4 linked regions of the Oreochromis niloticus genome follow. The main gene of each other region encodes a partner of the protein of the gene in region 4 in a complex. Links are inferred from orthologs where the notes say so. Each region holds a gene or a part of one and is shown on either strand. Other genes may lie near its edges.

Region 1 (7,527 bases), on a different chromosome or scaffold from region 4:
TCTGATTGAGCAGACACATCTCTTTGACGGCGTAGCCGCTGACGCAGTAGGCGTCGTAGTCTTCGCCGAGCAGCAGGCTGCACAGCAGAGTGGCATACTCAAAACACGTGGCTTTCTGACTCTGCAGCACCGCGTTGGGAGAGGAAAGGACCTTTGGCTGCAACGGGAGAGACGCACACCGCCACAATCAGACACACCGAGAGAAGGTGCACGCATGTGTGTATTTATTGATGTGAATGTGATTATGTGCTGCAGTCTTGTTTCTTTTCTCATCCACCATCTTGAAAAGCTGAAACATGTTCGGGACAATGACTGTATATATATATATCAGCTTCTCAGAAACACATTTTCACATCATCTCTGAGTGTGACATCATCAGTTAAGATAAGATAAGATAAGATAAGATGGCCTTTATTAGTCCCACAGGTGGGAAATTTGTTTTGTTACAGCAAAAGTGCAAAGTTATGTAGCAGAAATTAGAAAACACTGGAATGCAATAAAATACAATAAAATAAAATAAAATAAAATACTATATACAATAGAATAAAATAGAATAGAATAATATATACAGTTGTTGGTCATGTGAGGTTTGAAAATACTGCATACAGACACGACAGGATGACACGCAGTTAATGTGCAGCTAAACACGAGCATTTCTTATATTAGAATTACATTATATGCAATAATTATCTGAATTATGAAAATTATGGTTTCACAAAACAGAAACAGCAGAATAAAAGAAGTTCTCTCTAACATATGCTTTAACTCTCAACCACTGATTACAAAAAATACTTTGTTTGCTCCTAAGACTCAAATAAACATTTGTCTGCTGTTTCCTTTCTGACCAGCTCCACGGGCGGATCCAGAGGGACCAACGACAGGAAGTCGGCCACAAAAGAGGCACAGCCCTGCCACTCGAACAGTTCACAGTGGATGGTCGACGTTGGACGAAGAGACGTCGACACAAACTTCTGAATATGAGAAGAGACAGACGGCGATGCAGAAAGTATTTAGGGTGTTTGCAGATGTGAAGGTCCAATGGGATCTGTTCTTCAGAGAGAAAAAGGTTGAGTGAGATAAACCTACCTTTACTCCACATTCGTTTACAGGACAGAGCAGCAGCGGTTTGCGGTCAGGACACAAGTGCGAGTACTGACGCTGGAAGTTTTCTGCGATGGCTAACAGTCGAATCTCTTCTGGAGAGTTGCTCCTGTAGGACTCGGGGCTGAAGAAGGAGAACAGGTGAAGACGTGAAGATGACCTCAAAGCCACCAGCTTTACCCTACAATGCTTTTTGAGCTTCTACATCATCAGTGGGACTTTTTCCCTCAGAAAAATCTAAATAAATTGTAGAATAGATTTTAAAGCAATTTTTAAAACAAGGACAGATGTAGAAAATAAAATGCAAATGAAAAATCATACATGGAAATTAAAATTTAATTACTTTTTCAAACAAAAATAAAGCCTCCATTTTAAATAAGATTGATTTTTCTGTCAATTATTTCATGTTACAGGTTTTAAAGGGATAATCAAGAGAAACAGAGAAAACCCAACAATCACATGACTCTCTGTGAGCAAATGCTTTGGTGACAGTGGGAAGGAAAAACTCCCTTTTAACAGGAAGAAACCTCCTGCAGAACCTCTGTGACAGTCTTGTCTGTCTTTAATGTCTTTTAAAGGCGTTTTGTAGAGTTGGTAACAACGAACTTTTTTCTTTTCGTGTATTTTCTTCATCCCTGTGTGTATGTAGTTTGTCTATGAGTGTAAAAAAACTTACAGAAGCTTCTCAGAAGCAGAAACGTCCTCCATCTCCATCAGTGCTGTGCTCCTCTGGCGATCCTACTGGATTAAGGTTAATTGTGTTTATGTGCGCCTGAAGTTTACACATAAACACACACACGGAAAAACATCAGAAAAGCACACACATGTAGACAATTTTACTAAATAAAATAATACAATCAAATTAGATCTTGTTGTCAGTATTTTCTTATTGGTTCAAAAAAATGAGGCTGAAAATTCTTCAGTAAAAACATCTGACTATCTGACACTGTCAACAAACTTAAACACAACTTTTAAATCTCAGATTTCTGCTCTAGAAATAAGTAGTGTGTATTGAGCTGGATAACACCTCATCTACCATTCAAAATGTAAGAAAACTTTGAATACAATACTACGGTGGCCCTGAGAGGCCAAACAGACTGCAACTTAAGAAAACACCAGCAATAAGAAAAACGCTGCAAAAGCACACAAAACGAAACACAAAACGAAAACACAACAGAAATAGGAAAAAACTGATTTCCAAAAGCACAAGGGAAGTGTTTCTGGGGAGACAAGAACCCGACGGACCTGTTGGTTCCTGCAACCATCCACTTTGGTGATTGAGGACCTGTGTAGGACCTGAAACGAGGCTGCCAGCTGATTTTAAAATTCCCAATAAATATAATTAAACTTCTTGTGTGCAAATGTTTTACTGTGCAAATCCATGCTTAAAGTGCGATGCTAAATAAAGTGCTTGATAAGGTGCTTTTAATAAAGTGAAAGGTGTGCTCACAATGCTATACAGATAATATAAATAATCATAGTAAGGGAGTCCTCTTCCTCACAAACCGTTATGCATGTATTCCATTTTTTCTCTTTTTAAAATGTCGTTTAGAGTTTAGTTTATATCAGTTTTAGTACTTTCAGTATTTTATGAGTTTACTTTAAGTTTTTTTTATTCATTTCTTTAAATTTCACATCTACTTCTATTTCAGTTCAGTTTTTGTTCCCTGTAGTAACCACGTCTGCTGTCCCACATACAGACCTGTAACTAACCTCGTTTAAAACGTGCTTTTTAACGTGCTATCAAACTAAAGCGAGCGACACTTAAACAAACTCTTTGAAAACTGGTTAAACTTTTACTCACCCGGGCTCCGTTAACTGTTTTTAGCTGCTTCACATTCGTAAGCGTTGTCGTTGCCTCATGTCCATGGTAACAGCAACACGTCACGACGTGAAGGTATGCTGCATTCACTTACCCTCGGAGTTAATAGGATTCATACAGAACACACTTCAGACGCGCTTTGAAACAGGGATGCCAAATTTATTCTGTTTCCTGGCCCAATTTGATCTGAAGTGAGGCAGACCAGTCAAGGTATCGCATGAAAATACCCCTCCAGAATCCTCCCTTTAATTATATAAAAGTACACTATGAAGATGAACATGTGTGCCCATAGATGGTGTACTAGGCCTGGAGAGTGAAGCTATTGCCCTTTGAACCTGCATACTTTTTGAAAGTGTCAACGAGACTGAGATCCCTCGGCTCAGCTCCAACCAGAGGTGAAGGAAAAGGCCTAAAACCCAGCTTTGGTGGGTGTAATGTAGCAGAGAGTGACAGAGTTTAATCTATGTGCTTTGGATGTTAGATGTTCCTGCTGTAATTGAATTTATCATCAAATCTGAAATCTAATCAAAACTTACAAAGTGCCTGTGAGTGAGGAATGTGGAGCAGACAAAAAGACAGAGAAACAGAAAAGTTTTTGATCTTATTGTGCTGAAAAAAACAGAATAAGTCATTTTTGAGTAACTAACTTTTGAACTGTGATCGATAAATACTAAAGTTCACATACTGAGTTAAAAAGAGACACAAGAAAAAGCAAATTCTTAGAGAAAGTAATCAGAAATGAAAAGTATATGGAATGATCAAGGGAAACTGTGCCGTGGGAGTGTCTGATTGGGTGTGAGACCAGTTCCAGTTGCTCGTCCCCTGAGGTGGCGTTTTGTCAGCACATCACCTTCTCCTAATTTCTGGACCATCATCTGGAGGGTTTTTAAACCACCGCTGCCTGCCACTCTCCACCAGTTCGTCCTGCTACCATTGGTGGTAACTCAGACATCCTTGTGTTCGTGATTCATGCTGTTTTTGGATTAATGTGTTTTCCGTCTCCAGTTCTCTACAGATCCATCTTCTGTCGTGCTTATCAGCACCGCTGGTCCCACTTCCACCCAGTTCTCCAGTCTACCTGCAGACAAACGATTTCACACTCACCTGCTCCTCGGCCTGCCCTCCTGCCCGTCATCTCAATTGTGGATATATCTTTCCTCTAGACCCCTTGGAACTTGGATCCATCTCACCTGCATACTCCGCCATCCCCTGGACACTCTCACAGCTACCCCTCCTATGCCAGCCGGCCTGCATCTACAAGTAAGCACATACCCTCCACAAGTACTACTGAGTTCAACCCGCTCACTCGTTTCCCAGTCCAGTGATACTTCTCTCCTCTGTTGCAGAAGTTCCTGCCCATGCTCTCCTTGTGTTATGAGTGCCAGAACCTTTCTCCATCCCCTGGTTTCCCACGACACCTGTTCATAGTTTCTGTTAATATACGTGCTCTTGTTTAAGTTGATTACTCCTGTAAATAAATCTTGTAAATAGTTTGTGCAATTAAGTCTGCCCTTGGGTCCAAACTTCACTCACCTTTCCAGTTTGTGACAAAAACAATGTGTTTCTAATTGAGATGACAAGAAATGTTGAAATTATGCAAACTGAAGTTAATTATGTTGAATAAATGTGACTACTGTGATAAAGTAACTTTGTCTACAGAGATAAGGTGAGGGGCAAGAGAACAACAAGATATGGCTCGCATCAGGTGATTTCACAGCACAATAGGTGATTGGATGTTAAAATTGGGTAATGGCCATGCCATGAAAGAAACTGGAGAAAAGAAGAGGACTATAAAATTCTTTGCAGATAACGATTAATTGTTATTTACTCGAGGCATTGTCAAAGTGAACAGAAGATTAGAAGAGGATGTAGCATACAGGACTAATAATGAACATGGAACATAGGGGGAGCAGCAGTAGAGTCTGTGAGTGTGTGTGTGTGAGCGCACTTATGTATTCATAAGGTTTGTCCGTGTAATTGTCTAATAGTGTGTGTGGTGGAGAGCCATAGCCCTACCCCCCAGGACATGAAGCAGCCATAAAGGAGATCAGGGCCCCAGACATCCAGAGGCCCCCCAGACCATGAGAGGCCAAGGAGGACCACCAGAAAGGCAATCACGCCACCTGCCTGAAAAAAAAGCTGAGGAGAGCCCCGGACCGGAGTCACCCAGCAGCCACAGGGGGCTGCAGCAACAAGACCGCAGGCCCCACCTGCAGCTAGCTAGGCAGAGCTACGCAGACCGAGCCCTGGGCCCAGAGACCTTAGCACCCTCCAAACCCCGGAAAGGGTCTGACAGAGCCAGGGGGCCAGGCCCACCAAACAGTGAGTCAGTACACATCCGAGACACAGTACCGGACACTGAGAACCAAAAATGCACCGTTGGGTGAAGGCACCAGCCACTGGCAGGGAGTGCGGTCCAGGGAGAGAGGCCCCCACACCTGGGTGGGCCTGAGATGTTCTGAGAGAGGTGGAGTCTAAGACCCGACCTGACACAGACACATAGACAAACAGGAGCACACACAAACATGCATTCCCACCCTCATGCACACATTTACAAATACTCACACATTCGCCCAACATGGAGACACACAGAACTGAACGCAGTACACGCACTCACACTCCCCCATACATACTCTGTATCCCCAGGTCCAGGCACCATCACCGCCAGACTGCTAATCGGCCCCAGACCCAGAAGATGGTTCCCTTTACTCTGCGGTGGAGACAAGCAGACTGCCCCTGGTCCTGCAGCAGCAGGGAAGCCCCCCAGCCCAGACCCCAAACAGACGGCCAGCTCCTCCCAGCCCACTGGCCCAGACGACGTACAGCATATGAGAAGACTTCATACCTCACTCTGCCTGCTCATATGTGGTTTTGATGCGTGCTATTCTAAAGTGTAGTTAAAACATGGGAGGGGCTTGGCGCCAACTACCTTCTGCCAGACAACAGCTGGTGTCAGCAAAGCCCCTCCCGAGAACCCTCAATGTCTACATGTATTTAAAATTGAGAGGTGGGGACTGGCACCAGATGTGAGAGTGTATAAACAGACTGTCTTCTGGACAGTGTGCCCACTCCCAAGGTCTTATATGTATGTGTCATGAGAGTGTAAGTAATGTGAGTGTCTAAGTTGTGGAATAAAATTGAGGCACAGGTGGCCAGGAGGGGTCCTGTATGTGTGGTGGTGTGATGAAGCGGGAGGAGTTGGGATGGAGGTGGGGAGGAAAAGATTGGGGGGGGGGGATTAACATACCTGCAGAGCGGAATCCTCAGGAGCAGAGACCGCCTGCAAAGGATGTTAAAAACCTCCTGCCAGCTAAAGAGGCCCCCAGTTTCACCGATGCACCAGAGGCCCCCAGCACCAGGGCGGGGCCCCTGTGTATGCACCCATCCACAACCTCAGCAACACACCAACCAGGACTCAAACCCAGAGGTGGAACACCCCCAGAACCCAAGTCCCCAAGCCCACCCTAGACCAACCCAGGACCAGCATGGCTACTAGGTCGCTAATCTATGTCCACAGGCACAGAGCCCCCCAGCCTTGCCGCTCACAGTCACCAGAGCCCCATCCAGGTCATGACCACAGCCCCTGGGTCGAGCGGACAAGAAACCCAACCCTCAGGGAACCCCCAAACACCCCAAGTGAGTACCCCGTCCGTACTCCATCACCTACAATGATATATAGGTGGGACAAAACCAGGAGCCCCCAGCCCCACTAGTTGATAGAGCCAATCAAAGCAGGCCAGAAAGATTGGTCTAATGTGGTGGCACAGGCTGTACCAACACTAATATGATCTATCAGACTGTCTCTGTATTGGTTAGAATTAGGATTATTTTTATTTTTCCAGTTCTTGTGGACAGTCTTCTTGGCAATGCATAGGGTGGTGAGAGGAATGTGGACTCTTTAGTGACATCATCTAAGTCGCCCAATATGCAAACTGAAGGGGAGGCTGGAATGTTACATTTCTGTCACTTTGGTAAGTCTTCACATATCCACCTCCAAGACCTATGAACTGGTGGACAGAACTAAAGAGCGTTTTTTCAGAAATCTCTCAGTCAGAACATGCTATATCATGTTTAGTTGGAAGCTAGCGAGCTAACTTCCTGCTAACTTCTAACTCCATTAAATTTAATAAATTCTGTTTTCATGGATGCCTGGATGTTAAACTTTATTGTTACACCTGGTAAAGCAGCAACGCTGATCATTTTATTAAAGATGAAAGAATTAAGACAGTTTTTAACTCTCAGTGATGCCGCAGTGTTCGTTTGACTTTGGGACCTGAAGAGGATGGAGTTTAGGACCCTGATTACTCCACAAGGCTCCTGACTTCAGTAGCCGTAATGCTTCAGCAATCTTTTAAGCAGTGCGGCTTCATAGCTTAGCAAAGTCATACTAAAACATTTTTTGACAGACTTTTGAGCGCCGTGTGCCGCATAAAATCAGTTTGAGGTCAGTAAGCACAACCAGAATTCATACATAAGGGGCACTGTCGATTTTTGAGAAAATTAAAGGATTGTAAGTGCGCCTTATAGCCCTGGCTAGATGTAGAACAGGCACTATGCAATAATATAGAGACTCTGGACCAACCATTTATCAGCTCAAACATCAA
Region 2 (6,928 bases), on a different chromosome or scaffold from region 4:
AAAACTATACATGCACAACAAATAAAAACACCGTGATGATTTCACTGATAAAAATGATTTAATCTACCAAGCTGAGGCATGACTAGAGGAGAACTTAAAAAAGAGCCAGTAATACCAACAATGTGTCCCAATTCCATTAACCTTCTCCAGGCCTCCAAGCGCTTAGTGCTAACACTTGTACCCAACCCTCAGTGAAACAGAATTCATGCATGCGCTGGTACAAGGTCACAACTGCTGAATGCTCTATGTCAGCATCTGTTAAAGTTTCTGACTTAAAGTAAAACGCTGAACCGCTCCGAGCTAAATTACATGCCACTGATCTTTCTCTCTCTCTCTCAGGTGATTCTACACCTGGCATGATTATGTAGATTTTTCCACATCAACTTCAAGGTATTTTACAGGTCGAAGACAAGTTGGAGCTGGTTGAATTTTGGGGGATTTTCGCTGCAAACAGCCATTTTAAGTGCTTTCTTGCACATGTTGTCTTTAGTACAGCCAAGTGAGACAACCTCCCTCAAAGCTAGTAATAAGTAAGTAATAAGTATTGCCCAGCATAATGTGGTATTATGATCAGTGTCTATACTCTAAATAGAACCATGTTGTAGGCCAAGCAGCGATTATCGTCTTGCTACACTTGTTTAGTCATAAAAAGGCATAAAAAGAATGAAGGAGACAAACGAGCCGACTCTGTAAATGTTAAGTACCTTTCAACTATACACCTCCACACTGGCACACGGCGAACAATGTCTTGTTCGGATAAAACTGATTTTTTTTTAAAAAAATGACTGTCTTTGATTATGATGTGAAATTCAGGGTCTGATATCGGCTAAATCTTAAAATCTTACTAAAGGCATTCCCGTAGATAATACTTCTGATTTTACTTAAGTATTAGTTTACCTAATTAGCCAAAAGGATGTGGTGGTGCAACAACGGAGACAGAAACAGGATCTGATGTTAAACTTGTTTTAAAATAAACCTTTAATATTGACCGGGGCAGTCTATGGTGTCATCTCTTTACATCCCTAGCCGAGCCGGGCGGTAACACACTTTAGCTAAATTAAGAATACTGACGTTATGCATTGACAGTATAAATGCATGCCCCAACTGTAAAACCACTGCCTGATTAACAACTTGCCTATAAATAAATGATAATTATTTTTCCTTCTCCTCCAGAAAAAAAACAAAAAAAAACTCCATATCTTCATTATAAAAAAATAAAGTGATTTGAGCTCTTCATCCCGCTATCACTGAGCATTCAGTCAGCACAAAATTGATGTGACAACAGATAAACATCAGCCACTGTAACAGATATAGATCTTGATGAACAGGTACAGCAAGTAACAGGGAAATCAGCCTCTTGGTTTTGATCAAAATTTAACTTAGTTCTATGTGGGAGGTGTTTTCAAGGAGAAACTGCATTATAATTCTGCAGGTATGGTCAGTGGTATCTGTTGGTTTGTGGGTTCACTTTAGATAACGCTAAAAATATTTCTGCTGCTATTTTACGCAGTCCCGTGGAGTAAAATCACTTTTGGCACCTGTGGTATAGCTTTTGTTTGTTTGTTTGTTTTTTTGTTAAGGTAAGATATTACTTTATCTGGCTGTTTTTCTTCCAGTCAATGAGTTTCTATAAAGCCATATTAACATGGCAAAATAATCCCTTCTGTAAACTGCAAGAGCCAAACTGATAGGTGGCAGGTAGTTTAATGTGTGGCAGATCAGATCAGCAGCCTCTCCTTTCTTGTTTGGTCTGCATGAGACAAGCTTTCTACAGGAGCGTTGAACATTCACAGAAAACAAGGTGATAATAAAGATCAACGTTTCAGTGCCACTTGTGTTCTTGTCTGTGCTATTTGAGGCCCGACTAAGCAAAATACACTTAAATGTGTTAGCAGTTTTGCAAAGGCATCATAGTTTATAACTAAGCCGTCGCGTTGGAAGTTGAGAAACAAAAAAGCCGTGTGTGAATCTCACAGGAAACTGGGGGTCAAACTGTTGCAGGCTTTTTTTCCGAGAAGTAAAGCTGTGAGATGACTCTCCCCTGTTAAAGAGCATAGCTGGACACGTAAAATGCGTACTTTTCTTCTTCTCTAAACAATTTCTTACAATTTCCAAGGGTTGAGAGACAGCTGACTATAGATTTTCATAAACGAGCTACAGGAGACACTGTTGCAGTGCTGTGAGACCTTGTATTTTCAATTTCCTGCCACAAAGTCGTTAGATTCAGCCCTTATGTGGCATATTTAAAGAATACTAACTTCCTTGTTAGAGCTAAAGATTGTGATATACCTTAAAATATTTAGCCGTGGTCAAACAATGTAACGCTATGCACCGCGGTTTCACAACTAAAGGGTAGTTACCCGAAAGTGTTAACAACCCTGCCAAGTAATAAACTAAGCCTTTGTATGCCAGTTAATATTAAACTGCTACGAAAGTGGCGTGCCGCATGACGAACAAAACAAGAGTTCAGGTTAGCTATGAGCTAAAGTTAGCTAACCATGTCCTGTACCAGCCTGTTAGCTAACTTAGCAACAACAGACCTTCAGCAGGCGAAGATTAGCTAGCTTATCGCAAGTTAGCTACGGTTAGCTAGCAGTCGCCCTAGGCATCCGACGCGTAAGCAAACGTTAAGGGCTTAACGTTGACAAACCTTGTCCATTAGTTTCCAGCATTTCTCCACCGTCTTTTTGTCCACGGCCCCGGGCTGGTGATGGGAGTGAAGGTGGTGATGGTGTGGCTGGAAGGCATCCTTCATCATTCCGATGATCCCCCCGCCTTTCTTCAGGTTCCCAGCCATGTTCGGGCTCGGCCAGAGCGGCAGACAGGCGAGGTGAGGCAGGGCAGGGGTCAGGGGGACCGAACCGCCGCCTGGAGTTGGTTGGACCGGGCGATGGTGATCCCGTACCCCCTGTGAGGACAGCGCCCGAGCGGCGAATCCGAGCCAGGGTCCGACGGGGGTAAAATGAGGGAGGAAGAGATGACTATTGGATAAAGGCTCCCATCAGTAAACATAACATGATTATTTGGTAGATAAATGTCCAGACTGTGGATAAAACAAGCCCAACGGTCACTCACACCCTGCACAAGTTCCCCTCTGTGCTGCAGCTAGCAGGCTGCGTTGCTCAGCGTCTCCCTCTCTCTCTGCAGGGACCCACGCAGGCTAATTAACGGAGCACCAGACCTGGCTCCCCTCGCCCTCAGCTGGAGGACAATGGCAACCGTTTCTTCGCTGGACTCGTGCGTGTCCTCGCCTCTGTCCAAGCCGCGATGTCGTTCCTCTCTTTTGTCAGCAGCAGCTCTTTTCGGTTGTGCCGTGTCTTCAGGGGAAGTTCAGAGGCTCTGTGACACTGTCAGCACTCCTTTGCGGGCTGCGAGGCTGACGACACAAAGCGCTCACCGACGACCGAGGAGAGGAAGTTGAACTTAAAGCTGCGAAAGCCTCACGGTCATAGACGGGAACTAGGGTGAATAAATAATTATGGGATTTAAACATTGCCCAGCATTTTCTGTTTCCCCCCCGTGACGTGTATGTGCGGCCCTTTCCTTTCCTGTACGTCCCCTTCCGTTAACCCCCAACCCCTCCTTTCTCTCCCAGCTGCCCAAACCCTAAACTCTCCGCCTTCTTTTTAAAGCGCGTTCTCGATATACATGACCGAAACCGAGCACGCGCGTCTGCCTGTACAGCATTCATAAAATCTCCGAGAGATGCTGCTGAGTGCATCTCTGAGTTCTCCCAGCTCGGGCCTCGGTCACCCCTAGCAACAAAAGACGCTTTCACATATACTGAAGGCAGCTGGCGCTGTGCGCGTTCCCCAGTCATGTGTGTGACTGGCCGTTGTAAAAGTCACTCAACTATCAATTAAACCGGGCACTTTGTTTTATGGCTGCTCACTCAGCAACCAGTGCACAGCAACAGAGTCTCACCACCATACAGTAAGCGTAGGCCCTCTGTGTGTCGGTGGGTTGAACAGGCAGCCTTGCAGCAAGCAAGTATGGCTCCGAAGAAGAAGACAAAAAAGGCCGCAGAGAAAAATCCAGAAAAATGTAATCGAGATTCTTTTTTTCTTTTGTGACTGCAGATCTTTTATTTCATACACATATTTCTGTGTTGTTACAGGTCAAAATGACGTGGAAGAAAAGCGTAGGCACAGTATTCTGGATATAGCCATTCTGCAGGATCACATAGGTGAGCCTGCAGGTTTTATTCTTTTATAAATAATAAAAACAGACAGTATGATTTTTACATAAAGGGTCAAACTGAATATGACTCCACTCCTTGTCATGTCTGTTCCCTTTTAAATCCCTGATGTCCCATGTTATTGGGTTGTATATAGATTTTAAGTGAGTTATTAAGAGATCAGTCTTTTACCGCATAAAAAGATAGAAAATAGTGGAAAAAAACATATGTATATTGTGCTATTTGAACATTTTTTAAAAGCAATACAAGTGGAAATGAAAGCCCACATGTTAAAACTTGACTGCATATTTGGGCATGTTTACTAGATAATTTAGTTTGCATTAATACAAGTTTTGATAAGAGAGCCATTTCCATTTTTGCTTATGAAAACAACCAAACAAAAAACAAACAAAGCTCCCTCTGGTTTGTGCGTTCAATGCCTGCATGTGTTTGTGTGACTTCCTGCAGCCTTACAGTGTGAGGCTCTGAGAAGGGTCCAATCGGAGAGAGCTGATCTGAGGAGACGCGCGAGAGACATGGAACAGAAGCTGCAGCACGAGAGACAAGACCACAGGGACATCTACTGGGGTGGGTACAGACGGGGCACGAATCCAAAATTAGTCTGTCTTTTAATAACCTGAGCAAAGTGCGGATCCCTTTGGGAGTGAGGACAAGGGGCGTGTTTGCCGAGGTTAGGCTAATTTTTGAGGAACAAAAAATCTAATTAGCCGGGCGCTTAAGCTGATTGCTGTATTAGCTTTTCAAAGTGAATCAGCAGTGAACTCTGAAATAGCTGACGCAAATGTCATTCTAGACCTCAGTCGCCAGTACAAAACCATGCAGACCAAACTGACCAATAAGGTGAAGAAACTGGAACAGGAAGTCAGCCAGCTGAAGGAAGACCTTGGTATGGTCTATCTATATTTAAAGTATAATCAAACAAATGAAGCCATATAAGAATTTACTAAAAGGGTGTCTCGCCTCTCTGTATTTGTATAGCCCTATCCCAGGAGGAACTGACTAAAGAGAAAAGTGAGCGTAAGCAAGTGGAGCAGGAGAAGGATGCCATCATAGCAGACCTTCGACAAAAGCTGGACAACATAGAGTCAGACTATGAGAAGATCCTTCATGTGAGTTTCAACACAAGCCAGTTCAACCACACAGTGTGGCAACAATACGCATTTGAAAACCTACATGTATACAAAAACCTATTTGAGGTAACCTTTTGCACAATGTGGGGCAGCTTTGTCTTGTATGGTGCAGTTAGACCAACCCTCAGAGAACTTGATCTCAGTTAGTTCCGCCAAAGTCATGGGAAGGTACTAGCACTTCTACTTGTTGGTCAGGCCTGCAGATTATGTGTGACTCTTGAAAGAGCGGTGTGATGACACCAATTTCTTGAAAGTCAAGCTCCTGAATGTATGATTGCTTTGAGCAGATAATTCAGTCTAAAACGACAAACTAAGAAAACGCTAATAGAGCTGTCATGGATGTTTTATATGAATTCAGTGACTTCAAAATGATTCTTATGACATTATGATGACACTGATGAAAACTGTTGCAGTTTATGTCTAATAATGTTAGGTCAGAAATGTTAAAAAACTAGATGGAGTGTACAGTATACATGTGGTTTAATCTTCCCCCCATAAAATGACATTTGCAGACTTCCTGTGTATCCTTAACGACAAGTTTTGACACCTTAGTACATATCAATAAAGATGTCCTTTCATGACCATTAGAGTAGTTTTGGGGTTTTTCCAAGGGTAGCTGTACAGGCAGAGAATGCCCTCACTAACTTCTGATGCAGAGTGAGTATTTTTTGTCAATAAGCAGGCCTGAAATATGGTGCTTAGATCAGAAAAGTTAGTACTCCATTACAAACTTTGCAGCTTTGCGGAACGATCAGTGCACACAACACCAGAAATTATGCAATCAACACGACCCAGAAACTGCTGAAAAAAGAAGCCATAAATAGAGCTGTAGAAAAATATTCACCCTCTTCCTGATTTCTTATTTTTTGCATATTTGTGACACTTACATGTTTTAGAAAATCAGATTTTAATATTAGAGAAAAATAACCCGAGTATATACAAAATGCTGTTTTCAAATGATGCTTTTATTTATTAGAGTAAAAAAAAAATCAAACCTACTTGGCTCTGTGTTAAAAAAAGAAATTGCCTCCTGAAGCTAATAACGGGTCAGGCCACCTTTGGCAGCAAAAACTGCAATTGAGCGTTTGGAATAACTGGCAAACTGGAGGGATTTTGAGACACTCTTCTTTGCAGAATTGTTTTAATTCATCTATATTGGAGGGTTTATAAGTATGAGTGGTCTGTTTAAGGTTGTGCCAAAGCATCTCTGTTGGATTTAAGTCCAGATCTTGAGTAGGCCAATCCAAAAGCTTTATTTTGTTTTGTTTTTTAAAGTTATGATCCCGTTTGTGTACTTGTTGGTGTGTTTACGTATCATTGTCCTGAGGTGTTTAAGATTCAGGGCGTGAACTAATGGCTGGACATTCCCCTTCAGGATTTTCTGGTAGAGAGCAGAATTCATCGTTCCATCAACTACAGCAAGTCGTTCAGGTCCTGAAGCAGCAAAGCTGCTCCAAACCACGACACCACACAACCACGTTTGATTGTTGATATGTTCTTTTTATGAAATGCTGTGTTAGTTTTATGTCAGATGTAATAGGTAACCTCCAAAAAGTTAAGCTTTTGTCTCGTCAATCCACAGAAAATGTTAAAAAAGCCC
Region 3 (6,931 bases), on a different chromosome or scaffold from region 4:
CCTAATTCTGCAGTTGTCCTCCATCCCTGACCTTCGCTCCATCTCTTTGGCGTCGGCTGCAGTTTGAATGTTGGTCACTAATGTGGTCAGACGTTTCTGCAGGCTCATTATCCTCTGGGCAGTGAAAGTGGGACAAATTAAAATAAATACATCTCATAAGAATTTATGAAAGCTACATCTGATTGTGGTAGTGTCCATTTACTGATTGGACTTCATCTTTTGCAATAACTTCAGTTTTGTTTTCAGTTTCAGTTATAAAGATCTGTTTTAGTGGATATTACAATGCTGCCTCTGCTTTGGCCAGTCGCTTTAATGGATTTAATTATTTCACTCCAACATAGCAATCACAATGCAAAATAAGAGTCAAAAACACAAAATCATGACCTAACCCTCTGATATAATGTCTGTTCCTTTGGATGGATGACCCCGGGTATTTAAACTCATATACCTTCACTATCTCTACTCTTTGCATGTTCACCTTTCCACCTGTGTCCCTCTCATTCAGACGCTTGTATTCTGGCTTGTTTCTACTGACCTTCACTCCTCTTCTTTCCACTGCATACTTCCATCGCTCCTCTCTTTCACCTTCTGCTCTCACTACAGATCAGAATATTGTCTGCAAACATCATGGTTCACAGAAGCTCCTGCCTAACCTCATTAGTCAACCTGTCCATCATCACTGCTAATAAGATGGGGCTTAGAGCTGATCCACTTTGAACCCACGTGTCACTCCTACTCCACACCTCACCACTGTCTCGCTGTACATGTCTTCCACCTCCCTCACATACTTCTCTGCCACTCCTGACTTCCTCATGCAGTGGCACAGTTCCCCTCTTGGCACCCCATCAGATGCTTTCTTTAGATCCACAAAGACACACTGAAGCTCCTTCTGACCTTCTCTATATTTTTCCATCAACACTGTCATGATCTGTAGAGATCTTTCTCCGCTGCTGACTGATCATCACCTCTCTTCGTAGTTTAGTTTCATCAACTGATGTTTATGTCCTTAATCCAAACGGTGAGCGAGATCCACAGTACAGTGTCCTGATAGTTGAAGGCTGTGGCTCTGATTCTAGTTTTAGAAGCTCTAGAAGCCACAGGTTAGCCTATATATTATGGTACTATAGGGTCTTTAAGATATGATGGGTAAGATATCGCTATTCAAAACTGAAAAGAAAGAATTACTTAAATTCTGGGAACCAATGAAGAGAACTTGATATGAGAGAAATTTGATCCCTCTTTCCAGTCCTGTTAGCACTCTTGCCTTGCAAAGCTTATTTGGAGTGAAATGTAAATTTACCCTAAGCTGCCCTGCCTTAAAATGAAGGCAACTTTTTTGTTTTGTGACAACTTCTCACCTCTCAGCCATGAAGTCTCTTCAGTTCTAAAAACTGGTGTCAAGCCGCCGGTATTTAACCCCTAATGACATTGTCCTCCTGTTGGTGTCCTGAGAGTCCTCGAACCACCTTGCAATCATGCAAGTCATTAAGAGTCACACGAGCCAAGGTGTGAACGAGGCATGGATCTCATTATAGAGGATGAGGTGTTAGTGAAGGTTAAATTGCCTGGGAAGGTCTCTCAAGGCTACAGTATAATATCTTAAAGCAGGATGAGCTAATGTCTTACAAAAGATTCACATCTTGAATTTAATTGAATTGAACTGAACATCATGTGACAGGATTCACACCATGTTCACACCTAGGTTCGTGTGACTCTTACGGACTCACGTGATTACACTCCAGGGGGACAACACGAAAAGGGTTTAATTGTCTGTCAGTCTCCATCAGGTTTTTAGAACTAAAGAGATCTCGTGGATGAGAGGTGAAATCTGAAATTTCTTCACAAACCCAAAAGAAGTCCAGATGCCTTCTACCATGAGCTGGATGACTGATCACCAGCACATACATACTTTAGCACAAATACCTCAACATACATTTAGTTGAAAGTCACCTAGTTGATAATTTTCAATGCAAATCTTTTTTCTTAAACATATTTTTGTAGATTGTAATATTATTGGGTTTACCAAAGTAGTGAGTGTCTTGTTGATATTGTTCCTGGCATTTTTATAGTTTCATCTTATATCCACTCCTCGGCGTTAAATAAACTAAACCAATTTTAAAATAAATGCAAAAAAAATGGACATTCTGAATCACCCTTGAATGCCAATAAACATATACATTTCAATGATTTCATTAACCTGCAGAGGTAGGTGATAGGGAAACATGAAAAAATCAACCTTATTAACGTCCTTCTTTTCTTCTTGCATTTTGGTCTTCAACTCCTCATTCCCCTCCTCAGTGGGGTCTTCCTTTCCCTTAAAACTGGAGGCCCTATAAACATACAATATAGTTACCATCTGTAGAGTGATATCAGGTCAACTGGACAACGTTTTACTTAATCACCTGGGACACTAAGAAAAGATTTACGACATGTAACTGTGGTCTTTTGATTATCAGAGGTTATTTTTTATATATCTGTGTTCAACTGATGTAATAAAATATAACTGTGAGGCTTTTACAGCTGTTAAAACATTCATTGTTCCACTTTTCTTTTTTACATGAGCAGCGTTCAACTCAAATGAGCAAGGTATCAACAAAAATGGGCCAAACTGCAAAGTGACAGAGGCCATTATCTCGACCTAATTTTCCTGAGTTCATCGTATTTATTAAACGGTCAGATTTAAAACACACACACACAACATGCAACGCCTCTATCAGGGTAGTTGTCGTTGTCCAGTCTATCGCAGTGTTTAGCCACAGTAAGCTGCAGGTTACCCCTTCTTATCCTCTTGATTGTCGGACAACACAGGAGGTTCGGGCGCCTCTTCATGCACTTTGTCAGCTTCTTCCATTGTTGGACGATGTTGCAAAAAATACTGAAAAGTAATTAATTGTTGGACGATGTTGTAAAAAATACTGAAAGTAATTAAACGTTGCACGGTTAAAATCGTCCGCAGCAGCCCTGTAGAGTCTGTTTGGTAAGCGTTGCTTTGGCGACGGAGCTGCTTTCAGGTTCCCTCGTTAATTCGAAGTCCTTTTTTTTGTTTGTTTGTTTTTTAGAGGAAACGTGCTCGTGTTTTCCTCAAACATAAAACAGTGGCAGTCGTTATTTCAGTGTCTTTTTAAGTGTCATTGCTGAGGGTTGTTCTACAAGCTACTGAATCATTGGTTGCACTTAGTTTGTGCAGAGGCCTGTGACAACTTGTTTCATTTTCTCTTCACAACTTATTGCACTTATATTTCCTATCAGAATATTTCTTCCTTTATCATTGAAAGACTAATGATGACGTTAACAGTTTCAAGTGTCTCTAATATAATCCCTTCATTTATTAATAAAGCACAGTCTGCCGGCTTTGTTGTTGTTTTCATTCTGTGCTTCTATCTGCTACTAATGACTGTTCATGTTTAGAGATTGCTTCTATTTATTAAGCTCTCTTACTCCCTTTCCTTGTGTTTAGGGCTTTTAAAATGCGACTCTACCGGGGGAGTAGCTTTTATGATGCTGTTAAATTTTACATGGCTCGGTGCTGCCATCTAGCGGCATCATCGGGTTTCAACCGCTCTAGATCAGGAACTCATTTAACAGCTCACTTTGACCTCAAGCGAAACTCCCCTTTCTGTCAGTGTAAAGAAGTTTAACTAAACATTAAATCCCTCAAATATCTTCAATTAAGAAAAAAAGAACTTCAATACAGTACATTTCCCTTTTTCTATGTGATGAAGAAATGGAGGAAATCTGTCAGCATGATTTGGGGCTTAAAATGTAATAAACAGATATACTTAAAAACAGGAAAAGTTTAGACAGCTCATTGACCAGACTGTCCTGAAATAACAGAACTAACTTTTTGTTTTTAAAGAAAATGCCTTTTTTCCTCTATAAAAAAGAGAGATTCTACACCAGATAGGGAAAAAGCAGGAACATTTCTGTCATTTAAATATTTATCTATTACTTATTTATTATGGTGTAGTATGAAAGACCACAGGGGAAGTCTTTATTAGTAGGAAAAGCTGTAAAAACAAAATTTAAACTTATAGTAAGAACTTCACAATCTGCAACATTTTTCACATTTTCCAGTGGGCCAGATTGGAGTCTTTGATTGGCCTGATGTTAGACACACTTGGTCCAGATCATTTTGGGGGTGAGAACAACTTCCATACTGTAGGACAGTGTGCAGATAGTGGCAATGATCTCTCCCTAACAGGGCCATTTCTAAGAAATGTGACATCATAATCTTCCAAGTTTCATTGTAGGTTCATAAAACAGATTACGACATAAGATTATTTTCCCCAGTGACGCGTTACAGGCAGTCAAAAACTATTATTTTTATGCAGTTGTGGCACATGCTCAGCAGAACAGTGCTAGAGACACAACAAGCAGACAATTGTAAAAGTGAAATTTTTAATCAACATGAGACCTAACGAGGTTTTTGTGTGTGTATTAAGTGGTGTCTTAAATGTTTTTTAGGATTAATTTCTTTTCTAAAAAAAAAAAAAAAAAAAAAAGAATTTAAATAATATTTTCACATAATAAACTTTAGTGTAATTTGCACAGCTGACTTTAGGTGGAGCTACTACCTTGTGTTCAAAACTTGACTTGAAGTTTCACAAACAAGTATTTCTGAATATTTTTTCACAAGAGCCATGCCTCACTAATTGTCATGCCCCCTGATCAGCATAACCCAGATACTCACATACACAGAACCTGGACTTCTAATTCACACACACATGCACACACACATGCACACGATAGATGTCTTCTCAAGCTGATGGCAAGATGCGCACAGTCTGGTTGCCCACACAAACAAACTCACGCACGGGTCAGATGTTCTTGCTCTGAAGAGTGCCCCTGCCTCCACCCCCCGGGGCCCCTCGCCGCTCTTTTGGCTTCAAGTGGCCATGGTTGCAAGGGATGTAAGTCAGGCAGCAAAGGTTTCTGACATATGATCCTGCATCTGTGATGTCACTAACAGCTGACTTGTCATAAGACCTTTGGGAAAGAGGGAAGTGAGGAATGAATGAGGAGGAGAAGGCCTTATTTTCAACAGACCCTTAGCTGGAACGTTGAGTGCTTTTGCATCAAGCTGCTGAGATTACAAACTGAATGACTGCCATTAGAGAGTGATTCTAAAATCTATCATAATACCATAAGCTAGGGATTGACAGACTTTGACCCCACTTGCAGGTGTATAATAAGCCCCATTCACTCTACATATGCTTGGTAAAAGAGTGTGTGTGAGGGTGTGTGTGCCCGTTAATTCCTACCCCCAGGGGCATATGTTTACTTCTTGTTCAACAAAGCGTCATATTCATTACCCAGGGGCATAATCTAAGCTTGACCTTCAGCCAGTTAACTAACTGACAGCTTAGAGTGTTGGTGTGGTGGGGGTTGCATAACATTTTAAGTCCTAACTAAGAGTGTCTTAATATTGCCATAACGATGGAGACATTCACTGTTTTGCAGCATGGGACAGAATACAAAAGAGGGGAGGATGATTGTAGAATACAGTAAAAAAAAAACATTTTTTAAGAAATACAACAATGCTTAGCTCCAAAAAGGCCATGACCTTGTCAAAGAACAGCAAACTAGTCAAAAAAAAATTGGACAAAAATGAGATTTAATAAATGAAAACAGAAGGCCAGATTCACAAACAACATGAAGAGCATCCCCCTTACTGTTCAAACATGAAATGTACTGGCCTTGTCTCAAGGTAACTTGTGCAAAAGGAAGTATGTTTTTGCCATGTGTGCAGCATGCACTGCAAACAAGTGCCCAGTAATTTCCCCCAACAAATCTTTTGTTTCTACTTCTTTAACTGCACAATTTCAGCCTTTGAACATTAAAAGACGGGAGAGCAAACACAAAAGCAGGCATGCAGAGAGGCAAAGGGGCTGCAGCAGGTAAACAAATGCAATTTCTTTTAACATGCTACATGTTTATTGTATTATAGTTTGTGTAATAAATGCTACTTACTATCTTGCTCTTTAGCTAATTTTGTTTTTGTTTTTAGCTTTATGTCATAATTTTTACGCATCAACACTTGTCGATTCAAGCTGAGAACGCAAGATAAAGAAATACAGTAATAATGAGAGTCCATTAAAAAAAAGTCAGTCACTCTATGGTGTCAGATTATTGTGAACATGCTGATATTAGCAAAATTTATAAAATGTTACAGTTATTTAAAAATTCAAACTCTATTTCAGAATAAAAATTCATGGTTTCCATTACACAGCTATAAGATCAAACCTCTATGCTTTTACTCTGAAATAACAGTGATTACAGGCTAATTAGATATTCCTTGAACAACGCTAATGACTCTTTACATTTAGGACCGTTGGAAAAATACATAAATAAAAGTTAATTAAAAAAAGATAAACCATAAAAAGATATAACTTCTTATAATGCACAATTGTTTATTTCTGTGTAAATACACCTAAAAGTCACCGCTGGCATTAATGTTTTTCATCCTACCTCGGTTCATTTTTTGGACTTTAATCCAGAAAAGAACTGGACCAAGCAGTCAAGATCAGAATATGAGTCATTTCACAAAATCATTTTAATTTCCTCCTCATAAACCATCACGTTTACAACAGAATTATTCTCACAGTCATTTTTAAAATCAAAGCCCTTTGTGAGTGGATTAGGTGAACAATAATTTTGCATGGCATTAGACCATAATTACTGCAGGATTGATTTTTTTTTTTTCTGTTCTGCAGTCAGCTCAACAAGAGAGTGAATGAGCTGCTTCCATTGTTGCAGTTTAATATAAATGAGTTTAGAAAATTTTTAAAAATAAAATAAAATTCTCACACACGTCACAAAATGAAAATGTTCTTTTTGCAGCTAAAATTTAAAAAACCCTTCATCTTTTACAAAGTAACAATAAAGACTCCAAAGCAGACTGCTAACCTAAACCACTTCTGTCTCTCAAGGT
Region 4 (7,008 bases):
CACTGCAAATATTATCTCAGCACACATAGCTGCTACTGTGCTGAAATAGTTTGAACTTGCCTGTAATAAACTGTTCAGAGAACAAAAGAAGAAATATCTAACCACACGACAGATGCAGTTTCTTTCCATTTGTTGGTAAGATTAAATAATGTGTACACGCTATCATACTTTCATCTTAAGGTTATTGCATGTAAGACCAGATAAATGTTAGCTGTATGGAATAGCAGTTGGAATTTACACCACCCTTAGTAAATAATACATGTTGGTTCAAAGCAGGCCTTTGTGCAGCCTGAATCAACATTTGTAAAAAGATTATTCAAGCATTTAGAGTGTCTCACTGTTGCAACATTGCTTCATTTATGGCATGTGATGGAGTGCATGAAGTTTAAGATGTTAAAACAAATGATGCCCTGAGAGCAGTCTCGGTTCTTACCACCAGATCTTGCCTTAATACCTTTTTAAGTCTCATGTAAAGCTCATGACTCATAGCTGATCCAAAATTCAGGCCAAAGGTGTTTCCTTTAGAGCACAACTGAGTTGCCTTCAACACAGCTGCTTCAATCAAAATCTGTCACAGATCATCATTGTTACCATCTACTTCATGTAAGATTATGAAAGGTAGAACCGCCTGCTACGACGTGTTATGTGTTAAGAATGTTAAGAAGTTTCTATTATTATATTAAGGGTGTGTAACCAGTTTAATACCTGTTCACTAGATGTCAAGAGTCTATTCACAAATATAGGAAATCATTTATAAGTACACATCTGCCATCTGCTTCACTTAAGATTACATATACAAGTACATAGCACATGTACCTAAAATATGAGTTTAAGGCATGTGCCAATGAACATTTCTCACTTCACAGCCTTGATTTAAAAAACAGTGCTATTGGACTTCTATGGACGAATTTGTCATATTATTTCCAGCAAGGTGAACATATTTATATTTATATCTATCTATATATATCTATATATCTATATCTATATGTATGTATATATATACATATATGTGTGTGTGTGTGTGTGTGTGTGTGTGTGTGTGTGTGTGTGTGTGTGTGTGAATAATAACATTGCTGAGCAACACGGTGGCGCAGTGGCTAACATCTGTTGTTTCACAGCAAGAAAATCATATGTTTGGCCCCAAATTCCTTCCACAGTCCAGCAACATGAATTTGAGGTTAATTAGTTTATTGTTATTGATTGAAAAAAAATCACATTGCAGAATTTTTCATCAGTCATTAACAATAAAAAAGAACAGGAGCTGAATTGGAGTTAAATAAAAGTGCGCACAGTGATGTCAGGAAACTCATTGTTTAATTTCCTTAAAAATTATATTCAGTCAGCTCACTTTCACTTCTTGTTTTTCCGCTCCCCACCTTTTAATGACTTTACACTCTGTCAGTGAGTCCTGTAACTGTGCAAGTTTATGGTTATCTGTCTGTTTGTATCCAGGGTGTACCCTGTATCTCGCCCTGTGTCAGCTGCGATCAGCTGCGATCAGCTGCCATCTAAAGCGGTTAATAAAATTGGTTATTTTTATTGCTACATTCTAGATTTTTTAATGAATGAAGAGGTATTGATTTCTCTTCTAACCTCTTCTCACAACATGAGACACAAGTTATTTTGTACATCACTGAACATGATTGAAGGGGATCTTTAACTTCTTTTAAACATGTTATAAATGATTTAAAGAGCTGAAACAGGCTCTGTGAGCAGAAGTCTGTGTGCATCTGAACTGAAATAGTGAAGTCCAAGTTTTTGGAGACGGGAGCGTGGGGTTTAGGAGCTTGAAGAGTCTGGCACAGGGTGCTTGAGTGTTATACCCTCTACCAGATGGCACAAGGGTGGAAAGAGTCTGTAGCACATGGCAGTTGCACTACCAATCTGCTTTCTAACATTTTTTCTAAACTGTGCTTTTTGTTGTGTGTACCACAGTTTGAGACAGAGTTACATTCAATCAAGCCTGAAGAATGGAGGTCAAGGAGGACCAGAAATCACCACCTGGGAACAAGGTAAACAATGCCTCTTACCAGTAGATATTACACTGATGGGTTCTGACTGGGATCACCATTGCCAAATAATGTAGACTTTATTAGTCAGAATCTAATAAAGTCTTTTTTATTTGATTGTATAATTGTGAATTGTGCTGTGCTATGTTCCAGAGGTATTCTTCCTGTTTGGCCTTTATGATTATGATCGCAGTGGGTTCTTAGATGGCTTGGAGATGATGAAGCTCCTCTCAGATTTTTAACTCCCATCATATACCTGGAGCAGAGGCCAGTGAGCAGGTTAGCAGGAGCGACTGTATGTGTGTGTATTTGAACTGACAAGGTGTTGGCCTTTTTCCTTCACTCTGTGATATTTGTGTATGTTTGCATGTTGCTTTCAGGTGGTTTCTATGGTAGATTTCTTACTACAGACTCAGGATCTAAACCAGGATGGTCTGCTGGCTCTATCTGAGCTGCTCTCCCCTTCACTCACTCACACACAGGTACTGCAAATGTATTGGAAGTACTGTTAATACTGTTCAAGCTTGATGTAGTTTTATTCACACCTTTATTATATTTGGCTGCAAAAACAACACCTCATCATAACTTTCTACCTTAAAGGACCCAAGCAACAACAATGCACCTCAGCAGGAGCAGGAAGCAGTAGTGGAGGAACAGCTATCAAACGCTATTGCTAACGTGGACAGCGTCGGTGCAGTGGAGCAGAGAGAGGAACAGATTCGTGAAGAGATTCAGCTTCAAGAGGATGTACAAGGAAAGGAAGTTGAACCCATAAGGCAAATGGATGAATATGAGAGACATCAAATCCCAGAAGTCACAATAGAAGATCTGGGGCAGGACCACAATATCCCTGTACATCAGGGCCAACCAGAGATATAAAACACACACACATAAACACACTAGAGAAAACACCACTCTGTCATCTAGGCCTCAGTCTCTTATGTACTGTATGGGATAGCTTCTTAATCAGCATCCCCAAAAATGGTCCTCTTCTGGATCTGAGTTCTGAGTTTCTGCTAATGCACAATTCACTGGACTGTTAAACATGTAGATGGGTGGTCAAAAGGTCTTTCTGGTCAAAATATTTCTGCCACTGTATTGGGATGCTCAATGATTCCCAGAGCTTTTAATGGGTTAAAGGCAGAATGTAATATTAGTTGCAACAATAAAACAGAAGCCATGATTAAAAGAGACCTTTTAATTTTTTTTTTTTAAGTTGGAAAATGTGTTATTACTTTAATTGAATTTATTTACCATTTATTTACCATTTTCTGCCATGATTATTTAATGTATTTGTTTGCTTTATACCACCAGTTTATGAGCTACTGCATCATTTGACTGGATGTTACTTGGATGTGTCCTCCTCCCCAAATGTCAGTAGACACTGTGGATTCATGTACATGTGGATGGTGGACTTTCTGCACTTTTAGCTGTTTTTTATAATGTTTCAGATTCACAGTTGGTTCAGCTGAAATGAAAATTCGCTCTCCTTAATATTATGTCAGCAAGTAAAATGAGTACATATTGAATTCACTAGACAAGGAGTATGAAAGAAAATAATCTTTATGGTGGCCCCATTGAAATAAAATGAAAAGTAATGTAAAATGCTATCATTATCTACATACTTGAAATGTTTTTAGTGTGAAAGAGTGTACTATTTGTTAATTTTTTAAATTTTTTTTGCTAATTTTTTAAACCATTTTATGCATTTATAAGGCGGAAGAAAATAAATAAGAAACAAGTATTTCTCTGCTCTCTTTGTTTGTTTTCAGTCTGTCTTGTGTTTAAATGTGATACTTATAGATTATTTCATAGAAAATTAACAAAATCCTTGGGAAAAAACCTTTATAGTATGAAAACACATTTTCGTGGCTTCATTATATCAGGAACTTCTGAGGGGTCACGTTGTTGGAAGGCTTTTTTTTTAATCGAATGACTTCTTCAGCAAGACGGTGAGCTTTAAATAAAAAATAAATTAATTAATAATGTGTTATTAGTAGCTCTATGTAATTCGACAATAAAGGTTTTCTGGCGATTAAAAGATGGCAAACGTCAGAGGCGTTTAATTGGTCTCCTACCATACTGTTGCTGGGCAACAGAAAAGCGACCGGACAAACATGGCGGAGAACAGCAAAAGTGCAGGTTGGTAATAGTTACTTTCATTTTCAGTTTGTCTACAAATTGAACATCTTGAGACCACAGTGAAAGTTTCAGTCTAAAACTCTGTGCCGACCCGTCATAGTGGCTGATCTTTGATGAAAGTATTGTCATTATTTCCTCCAGAACTAAGCCAGCTAAGCTAATGCTTCACTATGTGTTCTTTATTTTGTCTGTCAGAGGCCACCGTGCTTAATACCAAGATCCTCAAGAAGCTCAAAGGCGCTTTTCAAGCCTTTGACACCAAGTCTGATAACACAGTGGATATCAAGTGGGTAAAACAAGACAAGCCATTTACTTTTATTACCGGAAAGATACTTAATAGGTACTATGAAGCTGATTACTATGAAGATCCAAAGGACCTTAAACGTTTTAACAAGTACACAAGATGCAGTCTTGTGAGAAAATCTTGAGCCAGCCCTCATTTCTTTGCATTTTGTTACCAAGGAGCCAGATTTTATTGTAATTTTTAGCAATAGCTCTTTCATTTTTGTTCCAGTGTTGCACCTTTTTTTTTTTTGCGACCCCACTTAACACTTACCTGTGAATCACTTTAGCATAAACAAGACACCTACCTCTGGGGACCAGAACCAGTGTTGTGTCAACACCAAAGAACTCAGCAATCTCAAAACAATTCAGCAAAGAACCTGTTTTAACGGTTACTGGTCACCTTCTATTAGCAGACTGTTGCAAAAACACATAATTTTTTCCCCATTTCTTTAGTTGAATCAGCAAAAAATTCCAAAGATAATACATTTGAAAGGCATAAAATAGTATTTTTGCACCAACAAGGTGATTCCCAAAGATTAATGAAGGGAAACAGAAAGAAAAGGATGAGGTATGCCAAATTACACAAAAACTGTTTTCACATAACCTTGCCATGAAAATACAGGGATCTTAGTTTTATTTTGAAAACAGAAGTGCCATGGAGGTTTTTGATGTTTTTGCAAGGACTGGGCCAAATATCGGTGGCAATCATAAGCAAAGTACAGCTGCATTTCAGTCAGTGGTGTTGGTGAATTTATTCAAAATTCCTGAAATTATGAATAAAGAAAAGTACTGACAGATTTTGATTCACCGTGGAATACCATCTGATTGGTAAGAGCTCCCATTTTTCATCAACGAGTCTGACCCCAAACACAGCCGATGCAGTAACAGCATACCTGGATACAAAAACACAAAATGAAACACTGTCTGCCTGGAGAACTATTCCTGAAGACTACAAAATTACAAGAACACTGACTTTCAAGAGAGTTAGAATTACACAGTGTCTGTATTTCCACTTATGAATGTACATGTTTCAATAAATGGCTGTAAGAAATATTCTTAAAATCTCACCAGAGCTTTGTGCAACCTGAGGAACTCTAATCAGCCACACAGATGAAAACATCTGGCAAACAAATGTGCATGTCCTTTCCCTTCAGCGACAGTGCAGCATGTTTTCTAAGCCAAGTGTGTGCTTTCTATGTAAAATTAAACTAAATGGTAGAGTAGAATATTTTTTAATTAGCATTATTAGAGGTCACAGCAGCTTTAATTCCTAGATATTTTTTTTACTAACTTATGCAGATGCAGAAAGGTCGAAACACAGCTGTTTATTTAAATCTGCTCTCAGTAGGTTTCCTGTCTGTAAGTTTTTGAATTTCTCACTGGAGGTTTTAAATAGAGTGGAAACTGCACACAAAGTGTCCTCCCTGCTAAGGTAACCAGACTGTATATCTTTTATACAGTCTGACAAACTAAACATGGGCTTGGACAGTTTAGGACATTTTGCTAACCTAAAATTGTTGGTCTGTCCAGGGAAAAACTAATTATTTAGGTTAGAGATTTGGCATTTAGTTTGACAAAAACAAATATAAAGTATTTGCGTTTCTAACTTCATTTCTACATAAATAACATGAGCCTGAAAGTCAAGTGGCCCAATCTCTGAGAGCTGACTACTCCTGGCTTCAGCCACACTTCCTTTTCTTTGTTTTATTTCCATCACATTTGCTGAGATCTACATAACCTGTGAGTTTCCCTGTTAGATATAGCATAGGTGTCCATCCTGCAGTGTGGACTTCTGAATATTAGAGGCAATAAAAATGTGGGACTCAAGTCTCAAGACATACAAAATGCTGTGTAGTTCAGATTACGCAGCTGTTTCCACTGGTAAATAGTTTGGTTGAAGTGGGTTATTTGGACGCTGGCTGTGAGAAATAAAGTTTGTGGTTTGTCTCAAGGCTTTCCACTGGCTGAGTGGGCTTTAGTAGGACATTGCGGTGAGATGGTTCATAGCACACAGGAATTAGTGAAACTAACTGAAACTGTCCTTTTAAATACTTTTAATGCACTTCTTGTTGTTGTTCTCTAGGGAGATTGGCACCATCTTCTATTCACTGGGTTTCTTTCCCACTCAGGCAGACCTACAGAAGTTCACATCTGAGGTCAGTATAGCATCCTCCCGTAGTCTGGTTCTATTTTGGAAGATCAGTAATGGGATGTGCAAACAGGGTTCTGACATTGTGCATTTCAGTAATGTTACAGAATCTCCTGTGCCATTATGTGACTGTTATAAAATCCTGGGTAACATTAGAAGCATTATTTTTGTTAGAAAATTCAAAGCAACCCCCAACAGCCTGTTCCTGTGCAACCAGGTGGAAGATGAGCGCTCAGGATATATCCACTGGGACAGATTCCTCCCAGCCATGACTAAAGTGCTACTGGAGGACAAGTAAGACAGTTCAGTTATATCATTGTATAAAGAAATTTCTGATTTCTGTGGATGAGAAGAAGGCTGAGATGCAAATAGGAGTTTGTTAAACCAAATTATCTATTATACAATGTATTTTTCTCTTATACT

Evidence for each region.
Region 1: drc8 (region 4) and ccdc135 share a complex: the UniProt entries of both Homo sapiens proteins name them as parts of the nexin-dynein regulatory complex. The link is inferred for Oreochromis niloticus from reciprocal best matches to the Homo sapiens genes DRC8 and DRC7.
Region 2: drc8 (region 4) and drc12 share a complex: the UniProt entries of both Homo sapiens proteins name them as parts of the nexin-dynein regulatory complex. The link is inferred for Oreochromis niloticus from reciprocal best matches to the Homo sapiens genes DRC8 and DRC12.
Region 3: drc8 (region 4) and drc1 share a complex: the UniProt entries of both Homo sapiens proteins name them as parts of the nexin-dynein regulatory complex. The link is inferred for Oreochromis niloticus from reciprocal best matches to the Homo sapiens genes DRC8 and DRC1.

What each region holds. Positions count from the first base shown.
Region 1 is NC_031984.2:2,435,237-2,442,763, forward strand, and holds the start of ccdc135 (dynein regulatory complex subunit 7), read right to left. Parts: upstream 3,004-7,527; 5' UTR 2,906-3,003; intron 1,840-2,905; 5' UTR 1,816-1,839; coding exon 1,778-1,815; intron 1,226-1,777; coding exon 1,087-1,225; intron 972-1,086; coding exon 846-971; intron 158-845; coding exon 1-157. UniProt on the Homo sapiens protein: Component of the nexin-dynein regulatory complex (N-DRC) a key regulator of ciliary/flagellar motility which maintains the alignment and integrity of the distal axoneme and regulates microtubule sliding in motile axonemes.
Region 2 is NC_031979.2:20,322,959-20,329,886, forward strand, and holds the start of drc12 (dynein regulatory complex protein 12), read left to right. Parts: upstream 1-3,907; 5' UTR 3,908-3,992; coding exon 3,993-4,044; intron 4,045-4,117; coding exon 4,118-4,186; intron 4,187-4,645; coding exon 4,646-4,765; intron 4,766-4,991; coding exon 4,992-5,084; intron 5,085-5,176; coding exon 5,177-5,307; intron 5,308-6,928. UniProt on the Homo sapiens protein: Component of the nexin-dynein regulatory complex (N-DRC), a key regulator of ciliary/flagellar motility which maintains the alignment and integrity of the distal axoneme and regulates microtubule sliding in motile axonemes.
Region 3 is NC_031980.2:12,171,756-12,178,686, reverse strand, and holds the start of drc1 (dynein regulatory complex protein 1), read right to left. Parts: upstream 3,006-6,931; 5' UTR 2,852-3,005; coding exon 2,775-2,851; intron 2,331-2,774; coding exon 2,237-2,330; intron 1,461-2,236; exon of another isoform or gene 1,359-1,460; intron 115-1,358; coding exon 2-114; intron 1-1. UniProt on the Homo sapiens protein: Component of the nexin-dynein regulatory complex (N-DRC) a key regulator of ciliary/flagellar motility which maintains the alignment and integrity of the distal axoneme and regulates microtubule sliding in motile axonemes.
Region 4 is NC_031965.2:25,792,999-25,800,006, forward strand, and holds the start of drc8 (dynein regulatory complex protein 8), read left to right. Parts: upstream 1-3,986; 5' UTR 3,987-4,126; coding exon 4,127-4,151; intron 4,152-4,346; coding exon 4,347-4,437; intron 4,438-6,519; coding exon 6,520-6,592; intron 6,593-6,802; coding exon 6,803-6,879; intron 6,880-7,008. Other genes in the region: cgref1 (cell growth regulator with EF hand domain protein 1), read left to right, coding at 1,936-2,012, 2,163-2,251. UniProt on the Homo sapiens protein: Component of the nexin-dynein regulatory complex (N-DRC), a key regulator of ciliary/flagellar motility which maintains the alignment and integrity of the distal axoneme and regulates microtubule sliding in motile axonemes.